Linked DNA regions of Ovis aries. The protein of the gene in region 2 interacts with the protein of the main gene of each other region in a biochemical or structural test. Links are inferred from orthologs where the notes say so. Each region holds a gene or a part of one and is shown on either strand. Other genes may lie near its edges. The genes, in order: USP5 and CACNA1H.

The links.
Region 1: the proteins of CACNA1H (region 2) and USP5 form a complex in vitro, tested with the Homo sapiens proteins (2 studies listed by BioGRID, with this or other methods). The link is inferred for Ovis aries from reciprocal best matches to the Homo sapiens genes CACNA1H and USP5.

Annotation. Positions count from the first base shown.
Region 1 is NC_056056.1:209,426,857-209,430,651, forward strand, and holds part of USP5 (ubiquitin carboxyl-terminal hydrolase 5), read right to left. Parts: intron 3,502-3,795; coding exon 3,430-3,501; intron 3,165-3,429; coding exon 3,077-3,164; intron 2,945-3,076; coding exon 2,819-2,944; intron 2,304-2,818; exon of another isoform or gene 2,231-2,303; intron 1,964-2,230; coding exon 1,810-1,963; intron 1,498-1,809; coding exon 1,323-1,497; intron 701-1,322; coding exon 612-700; intron 1-611. UniProt on the Homo sapiens protein: Deubiquitinating enzyme that participates in a wide range of cellular processes by specifically cleaving isopeptide bonds between ubiquitin and substrate proteins or ubiquitin itself.
Region 2 is NC_056077.1:1,462,290-1,466,867, forward strand, and holds the start of CACNA1H (voltage-dependent T-type calcium channel subunit alpha-1H), read left to right. Parts: upstream 1-1,511; 5' UTR 1,512-1,655; coding exon 1,656-1,953; intron 1,954-4,578.

The DNA.
Region 1 (3,795 bases), on a different chromosome or scaffold from region 2:
TGGGGGGTGGGTGGGCAAGTGAACAGGATTCCAGTCTTAGATCTACCACTAATGAGCCACGAGCCAGAGAGGGGTCTCTGACTATGCCACCGAACGATTCTATACTTCCATGGGACTCAACTTCTCTAGGAAATGAAGCTAGTTCTGGGGTTGGCAAAGTTGTCAGGGGCCTGTGAGACCCGTGAAAACAAACTATTTCAAGATTATCAGAATGAAAACATCTTACCAACTGTATAAAACTATGAAAACCACTTTTGCTTGTGTAAGTCATAACTATAAAATCAAAGAAGTCTTAAACATCAATGTCCTACTGTATAGCACAGCACACTGTACTCAATATCCTATGATAAATCATAACAAAAAATTTAAAAAGGAATATATATGTATTTAATATAACTGAATAGCTTTGCTCTATAGCAGTAATTAACACCATGTTGTAAGTCAATGATACTTCAATTAAAAAACGTAGTTAAAATTTTTTTTTAAATCAAAGTCTTAATAATGTTTCCCCTTTCAGAGGAAAGCTGAAGAAGCACTAGTTTACATGTCAAGGCCCCTTCTTTTTCTAGCATTTTCTGCGTAACCTCCCTTGCTCGTCCCGGCAACCATACCCAGTTTCTTGGGCACCCAGTCCAAGCCAAAGGTGAACTTCTTGATCTGGATGACCAGGTAGTCAGGGAATGAGGCAAATCGTGTGGTCCTAGAGAAGAGAGAATGGCCTGGTACCCAGAGAAGCTGTCCTGAAAGCCCCACCCGGGTCCAGCCTCATAGGTAGAAGAACTAACCACACTAAAGATAATTTCATATTCCTTTCCTGCCCTGGACAGGCATCAAGAGTGTCTGCAGACGAACAGTAGCAGAAGGTAGGAAGTAGGGGAATGGGGGTTCTTAGGGGCAGGAGCAGCAAAGGGGCAGGTGGCTGAAATCTCGGAGACCAAAGCACTTTCTCAGATCTCAAGTTTACGCCAGTGACGGGTGAGCAAAAAGTAAGACTATGTGCTAAAAATCTCAGTTCTGTCCACCACTGTTCCTAAGTGCCCATGCTCTGCCAGCCCTGGGGAAGTGAGCAGACAGAGGCTTCCTGAAAAGTGACCCCATCCACCCCAAGAGAGGAAAAAGACTGGCAGGGGCAGGTCAAGGTAACATGTAGCAGTTATCCAAGTCCACTCCTGCCAGGCCCTCTCGGTTCCCCTCAGGCCCCAGGTTACCTGCCTCAGCTGATGGAAGCCTGAGTTCTGACCACAAAGGGATGAGAGGATGCAAAAGAGGCTGACAGCATCTCGGGGAGGACCCTGACGGAGGCCGGGACCCATAGGACTTACTTGACAGCGACTGACTTGGCCTGCAGGGCTGTGCTCCAGAAGTCGTCCACCTGCTCGGGGGCGCTGTAGGCCTCCAGGCAGGAGCTGAAGGGCACCTGGGCCCGAACCAGCTCAGGCAGAGGCAGCTTCTCCTCTTCAGCTTGCCGCTTCTTCTCCTCATACTCTAGAAGCTCCTCTGGTGACAGAAGCAAGTGGGTGGACCCTTCAGAGGGGCCGAGCCACATCCCCGCTCATCCCTGGCCTACTGCCTCTGAGTCCACGGCTATCTCAGCTCCTCTGCTTCCCCAAACCCACCAGACACACGTCTGCCTGTAACCTGGCCTCTTTCTCAGCACGGCTCAGCTGACCAGCTGTGCGCAAGGTTAATCCCACACCCTGGCCTGGTTGGTAAGCAGGGATACTGTGGGCTCTGCTCCTGAAAGGCACCCAAGCCCCATCGCTGCCAGGCTTCAGACCCCAGGCCCCGGGAGGGTAGCAGAGCACCCACCTTTGTTCATGGCCGCATCCATGGGCACGGGCAGCTGCATAATGTAGTCCACTCGCTGGGTGTACTTCACCTTCTCTGTGGCCAGGCACTTGATCTTTTCCTCCACCAGGAAGCGGAACACTTCGTTAGGATTTTCAGAGCTCCGGCAATTCCTCTATGGGGAAGAGGCAGGGTGGGGAGGTCTGGACAGCCAAGCACTGGGGTGGGGGCCTACAAGAGTCACTGGGGAGTCAGGGAGAGAAGGGAGTGGAAGGGAGAGGGGCACAAAGAGGTGCAGGGATGGGAGACCAGAGCAGAAACCTTCCCTCATCAACCCGCCAGTTCCGGCCCATCCTGGCACTGCAGGACTGCGTGGGAAAGTGCCTGTACTTTCTTTTTTGAATGTGGACCTCCTTTTGAAAAAAAGTCTTTATTGGGGACTTCCCTGGTGGTCCAGTGGCTAAGACTCAGCATTCCCAATGCAGGGGGCCCAGGTTCGATCCCTGGCTGGGGAACTGGATACCACTTGTGGAAACGAATAAGAGTTCACATGCCACAATGAAAGATCAAAGATCCCCTGTGCTGCAACTAAGACCAGCACAGCCAAGTCAATAAATATTAAAAAAGAAAAAAGGTATTTATTGAATTTGTTACAGTATTGCTTGTTTCTGGTTTCTTGGCCTGGAGGATCCTAGGTTCCCAACCAGGGATTGATACTGCACCCGCCTGTGCTGGAAGGCGAAGTCTCAACCACTGAACCACCAGGGAAGTCCCCTGTACTTTCTTTCTAAGCACTAAGCACTCGCCTATCATTTTCTTTGGGAGCATCCTTCATCAGGCTGTATGCATAACAAGTGTCCTCAAGTGCAAACGCCACTCTCAGGAAAGGCTCAGTGCTTGGGGTCACTGGGGTGGGGCTGGGCTGGGGCTGACAGAGGAGGAGGAACAGGTGAGCAGCGGGAAGAAGGGAGTGAACTGAAGTGCAGGTAGACAGGAGGAGAATGAATACCCCCACCTTCCCTGTCCTCACCTCCACCATGTTGATAAGGTGCAGGAAGAACTCTTGGGCATCCTGCTGCCGGTTGGTGGAGAACTCGGGGTGACCCTTGCCAATGAGGGCCTTGAACATCCGAGGGGCAATGCCATCTTGGACTTCCTAGGCAGAGTTGGGGCAGCCATTCAGCCGGGGCCCGAGAGGCCACCAAGTGGCCTTCTTTAGACGCCTCCCACATGGATCTCAGTTTCCCCACCATTCCACAGCCTGAGAAGGATGGAGGTCCAGACCCACCTTCTGCTCCATTACCTGCTCCCCATCACCCGACTCTGGTGCTGGCTTGGAATACTCCCCCGAGAGCAGGCCGTGGCCCAGCTTGGCCCTGTGTCATCACCCAAGAGAACCATTTAGCTTCCGTCTGACACCACCAATCTAGCCCTTACCTCCCCAACTTGACCCCTGCTCAAACCCCCTTAGACAACTCTCTTAAATGTGAACCACCTTAGATTCCATGGGAACCCAACTCAAGGCAGACAGCATGCTTGCAAGATAGCAACTGGAAAGTGTCTAGCTGGCCAGAGGCTACACTGTTGCTCACTTCAGGGGGTCATGGAAGAGAAAGAGGGCACACAGGCCCGGCTACGTACACCTGGGTGCTGAAGTCCTGGGTGGGGTCCGTTGGGGCGTTCTGGAAGATCTTTTCCAGCTTATCCACGTACCTGAGCCAAGGGAAGGATCACTGAAGGGGCTGCGGCCAGGCCCAGAGGAAAAGGGAAGGGAGCATTCATCTACCAGTTCAGGGAACAGGTCCCTCCAAAGTGGGGAGACATGTGTTTGACACTTGGGGTCCACGTCTTTCCAGCAATTCACCTTCCCTCCCCTTCCCAAACAGGTGAGCATGCAGGGTACACAAGCCTCTGCCCCAAGACGGAGCTACAGGATGGTAGAAGACACTCAGGAGGATAAATACAGTTCATGTTCTTTGAATAGAACGTGTCGATATGTTCTAAATT
Region 2 (4,578 bases):
CAGGGCCTTCCGGGCTTTCCCTACCCCCAGCACGGCCACCCCATTCTGGTTGCGTCTCTGCAGTGCCATTGCGCAGCGCAGGTGGGGAAGCCCTGGTTGAGTGACCTTGCCAGGGCCTCTCCAGATCTGGGGGTCCCCACGTGGGTCCTCTCACCCACTCGAGCGACTGCTGAGGCCGGAGGCCCCTGGAGCCGCCCGTGTGGACCAGCCACCCCTCTCTTTGTCCAGCGTTGAGTGGGCTTGGAAGAAGGGAGGTCGCACTTGGAGCCACCAGACTGGTGGTCGTGGAAAAGTGAAAAGCTTGTGAGGTTTTCAGTGGCCAAGGGGTCCGAGTGGGACCCCGGAGCACAGGGGGCGGTGTGTCTCAGTGTGAGGCTGGGGGGCTGCGGGAGGGCCTGGGCGCTTCCCCGAGGTCCCACGCGGCTCGCTTGGTCCAGGAGGAGGCTGGGCGAGGGACAAGTTCGCAGAAAGCCGTAGGTGCGCTGTGCGCGCGCGCGCGTGTATGTGTGTGTGTGTGTGTGCGGGGGTGCGGATGCACGCGCACCCAGAATCCCACCCACGGATACAGCAGCGCATCACACGCGCGGTCACACCCAGGACACACATGCGGAGGGGGAGGGGCGCGCCCGCCGCGGTCTCGACCGCCGCGCACCGCCCACGCCTGCAGCCCCGCCCCTTCGCCGACCCCCGCCCGCGGCGCCAAAGGGCTCGGTGCGCGCCCCGGCGGGGAGGGAGCGCCCGCCTCCGCGGCTCCGGCCGCCCCCGCAGTTGGGGGCGGGGAAGACGCCGGCGCCGCCGCCCCGCCCCCGCCCAGCCTCTACGCGAGCGCCCCCTGGCGCCCCGCGCCCCGCGCGGGAGGGTGGGGGCGCGATGGGGGGCGCGGGGCGGGCCGGGCTCCGCCTTCCCGGCGGGGGCGGGGCGCGGCGGCGGGGGCGGGGCGCCCTCCGCGAAGGGGGAGGGGCGGCGCGCGCTCTCCGGGGCGGGAGCTGCCCCCCCCGCGCCCCCGGCCCGGCCCCGCCCCCGCCGCCGCGCCCCGCCCCCGCCCCGCCCGCCGCTCACTCCGAAGTTTCCTGCGCGGAGCGCGGACGGGATCCGCGATCGCTCGCCGCCCCGCCGCCCGGTCCGCGCCCCCCGCGCCCGGCGCCCCGCGCCCGTCCGCCTCGCGGAGCCCTCTGCGCCCGGCTGCCGCCACCGTCGCTGCCGGGCCAGCCGGAGCGGGAGCCGGCGGGCCGGGGGCGCGGGCCGGGGGCGCGGGCCGGGGGCGGCGGGGCTCCAGCCGGGGCCAATCGCCGCGCCGGGTCCGCGGTGACCGCACCGCCCGGGCCATGCCCGCGGGGACGCCGCCGGCAGCCGGAGCGAGGTGAGACGCGGCGAGGGCGCGCGCCCCGCTGCGCGCCGGGACCCTCGTCAACTTGAGGCGGCCGGCGGGGGAGCCCCCTCGGGCGCCGGCCCCCGCCCCGGCGGTGGGGGAGGGGCCGCCCAGCGCTCGCCGGCGGGAGGGGGCGGGGGGCGCATTTGTCTCTAATGAGAAAAGACAAAGACATCCCGGCGGCCGTGGCTGTTTCCGCGGATCCCGCGCCGCCTGAAGCGGGCGAGGGTGTCGTTCCCGGGACCTGGTCACCGCCTGTCCCCCGCAGGTGCTGCCAGCCGCTACCATGACCGAGGGCGTGCAGGCGGCCGACGAGGTCCGCGTGCCCCTGGGCGCGCCAGCCCCGGGCCCGGCGGCGGCGGCGGCGGCGTCCCCGGCGAGCCCTGGGGCCCCGGGGCCAGAGGCGGAGCGGGGGTCGGGGCCCAGTGCGTCGCCCCCCGAGAGTCCGGCGGCCGAGCGCGGCGCGGAGCTGGGCGCCGACGAGGAGCAGCCCGTCCCGTACCCGGCGCTGGCGGCCACCGTCTTCTTCTGTCTCGGGCAGACCACGCGGCCGCGCAGCTGGTGTCTCCGGCTGGTCTGTAACCCATATCCTTCCCGGGCCTCCGGGGGTGCGGGGATCCTGGGCACGGGGCTTCGGGGCGCGTGACCCCCTCCCGCGTGTGCCTCCCACGCCCGGGCTTTTTGGCCCTGGCGCGGTCTGGGTGCGCGGAGGACGCAGTACAGCGGCGCGAGGGGAGCGCTCCTCCGAGAGGCGGCCCCGGGCTGCGCTTTGTGGGGCAGCGGCCGCGGCTCTCTTGATCCGAACGGGGTGTCCCCGCTCCAGAGCCAGCTCCGGACGAGAGAGGGTGGAATAGAAGCGGCGAGGCCACTGCGGGCTTGGTGGCCAGGAGGGAAGTGGGCACTGCCTGCGCCCCCATGGGTGCCGGGTCAGGACGGGAATTCCTCCCTCCGGGTTTACGGGACCTCCGGCCTGAGGCAGGATCCTCACTGCGGTGGGGGAAGGGGGTGCCGGCGGGACCTCAATAAGGGATCAAAGTTTTCTCCCTGTCCGTTGCACTTGGGAGAGTCTGGGAGACCCTGGGGGCCAGGAGGCCCTGCGCTCTCGCTGGTCCTTTTCCGTGGGGAGCGGCGGTGACGTCGGTTGTGAACTCGCCTTTCCAGGCTGAACTCGGTGTTGGGGCTGATTTAAGTCATGCGCAGCTGGGGCTGGGGGGCAGGGAGGCAGCTGGCACGCGCTCCGCACCCTGGTGTCCCTTCTCCCGGTGCTTCCCTGACCCAAGAGGAAGGGGTCTCTCTTTTTGCTCTTGGTGAGAGCGACACACTTTCAGAGAAGGTTCTAGAGCAGAGCTGGGTCAGGCAGGGGGCATTTCTGGGACACAGCAGAGCTGGGGACCCCCGGCAGATGGCCTTTGGGGACTGTCAGCGGGCCCTGGCTCCCTGTGTCCTGGGCGATTCTCCCGCGGGCCCCTGGCTGCCAGGTGGCTGGGCTGTGGGCACCAGGCGTCCCCTCCCCTTAGCCTGGAGGGATTGGGTGACAGCAGGGTGGGGGACTGAGGAAAGGAGGCTGGTGGCGGGGAGACCTTGCCCGTGAACTTTCCCTGTCCACGTGAAGGGGACCGGCCGCGTGAGCGATGCGTGTATACATTTTTCCTACCTTGTGTGTCTAACTGTACAAACATCACATAGGAAAGAGGAATGTGTAGCAGGAAAGTAACAAACCCTGTCTTTTTTTTCTTTCCTGAAATCCAAACTGAGTCAGAGTAGCCAAAACCCGCCCCCCACCCCCAATGCCGTTGTGCAAGGGGTCCGTCGTGGCCTGGGTTGAGGGCCACGGCCGCTTGCCGCCCCAGCATGGCAGCAGGCTCCCCTGCCTGCCTTTGTCCCACAGCTCCTGGGTGGGCTTGGGGCCCCCCTCAACCCCCAGCAGCTGCCATGCTGAGCTTGCAGGGGAGCTGTAGGCTGGTCTTCGCTCCGAAACCCGGGGCATATTCAGGCCACCTGGTTTGGGCGGGAAGGTGGCCCGACTGGGTGGGGTACTGGGGTATACGGTGGGCACCCTGAGGCCCTGGGAGGGGAGGCAGCCCCCCTGCCGTGTCCTTCATCTGCAGGCACACGTGGGGACCAGTCAGGGAAGGACGGGAGCGGGGCCTGCACTTTCTCTCTCCTGACAGCCCCCGCGTCTGGCCGCCCTGTCCCCGTCCCGCCTGACCCTGTGTTCTGGATGTTCCGGGCGGGCTGCGTCCTTCGGGACGTCTGACAAGGTTGTTTGTGTTCCTCAGTGCAGGGGAAGGGGGGTGCCCCATGCGGGTGGGGGGGCCCCAAGGGGTGGGGGCTGGGGCTGGCAGGGCCACCTGCCCGTGTGTCTGTCCCTGGGCTCCTGGGGACTCCAGGAGCAGGAGGATGTCGAGAGGCTAGGAGGAGCCCTCCGCCAGGTCAGGGGCGGGGAATCTGGGAGTACCCTTCCGACTGGCAGGGTGTGGGGGAGCTCAGGTCCCAGTATCGTCTCTCCACAATACCGGGAGCTCTCCCGATTTCGTGGAGAGGTTGCCTGTGTTGAGTGTGGTGGGTTTGTCAGGGCCCTAGCGAGTAGGGACGGCTGTGATCTCCAGCAGGTGCCAGGCCCTGGTGCAGGGGTGTCTCGGCCACAGGGAGAACCTAAAATAAGACGGTGCGCCCGACGGGGGGCCGGTCCCCCCGGGGAAGCCCGTGGGCCTCAGCAAGCCTGTTCTGAGCACTTCAGGTTCCTTGTGAGAGGCTGGGGTTTGGTGGGTAGCCTGCAGTCTGCCGGAACCTACGTGGTGTCCATCCCAGGGCCAGAGGACACCCCTTGGCCTTGGTTCCCTGCCCTGTAGGTGGGTGTTATGCCGGTGGCACCCAGCGTCCTTTCTTGGAACCTCTCCTGCTGCGGAGGGTAAACTTGGAGAGGGAGATGGGGTGACTGGGTTTGCTTTGGGAACCCACACACCATGAAGCCACTCAATGCTTCCCAGAGGCGGGCAGAACCCCAGCCGGTCCGCCGAACCCAGCCCCGTGCAGGGACGAGACCAGCAGTGGGAACACAGGCAGGGGCCTCCCTCAAGCCCAGACTTTTGGGACCCCCTGCGTGGCGTGGACAGCCCCCCACACAGACGAGCACGTGTGTCCTGTCTGCCTTGAAGGATATCAGGTCCACAGCAGAGGAGCTCCCAAGGGCGACCGGCGTCCTTATT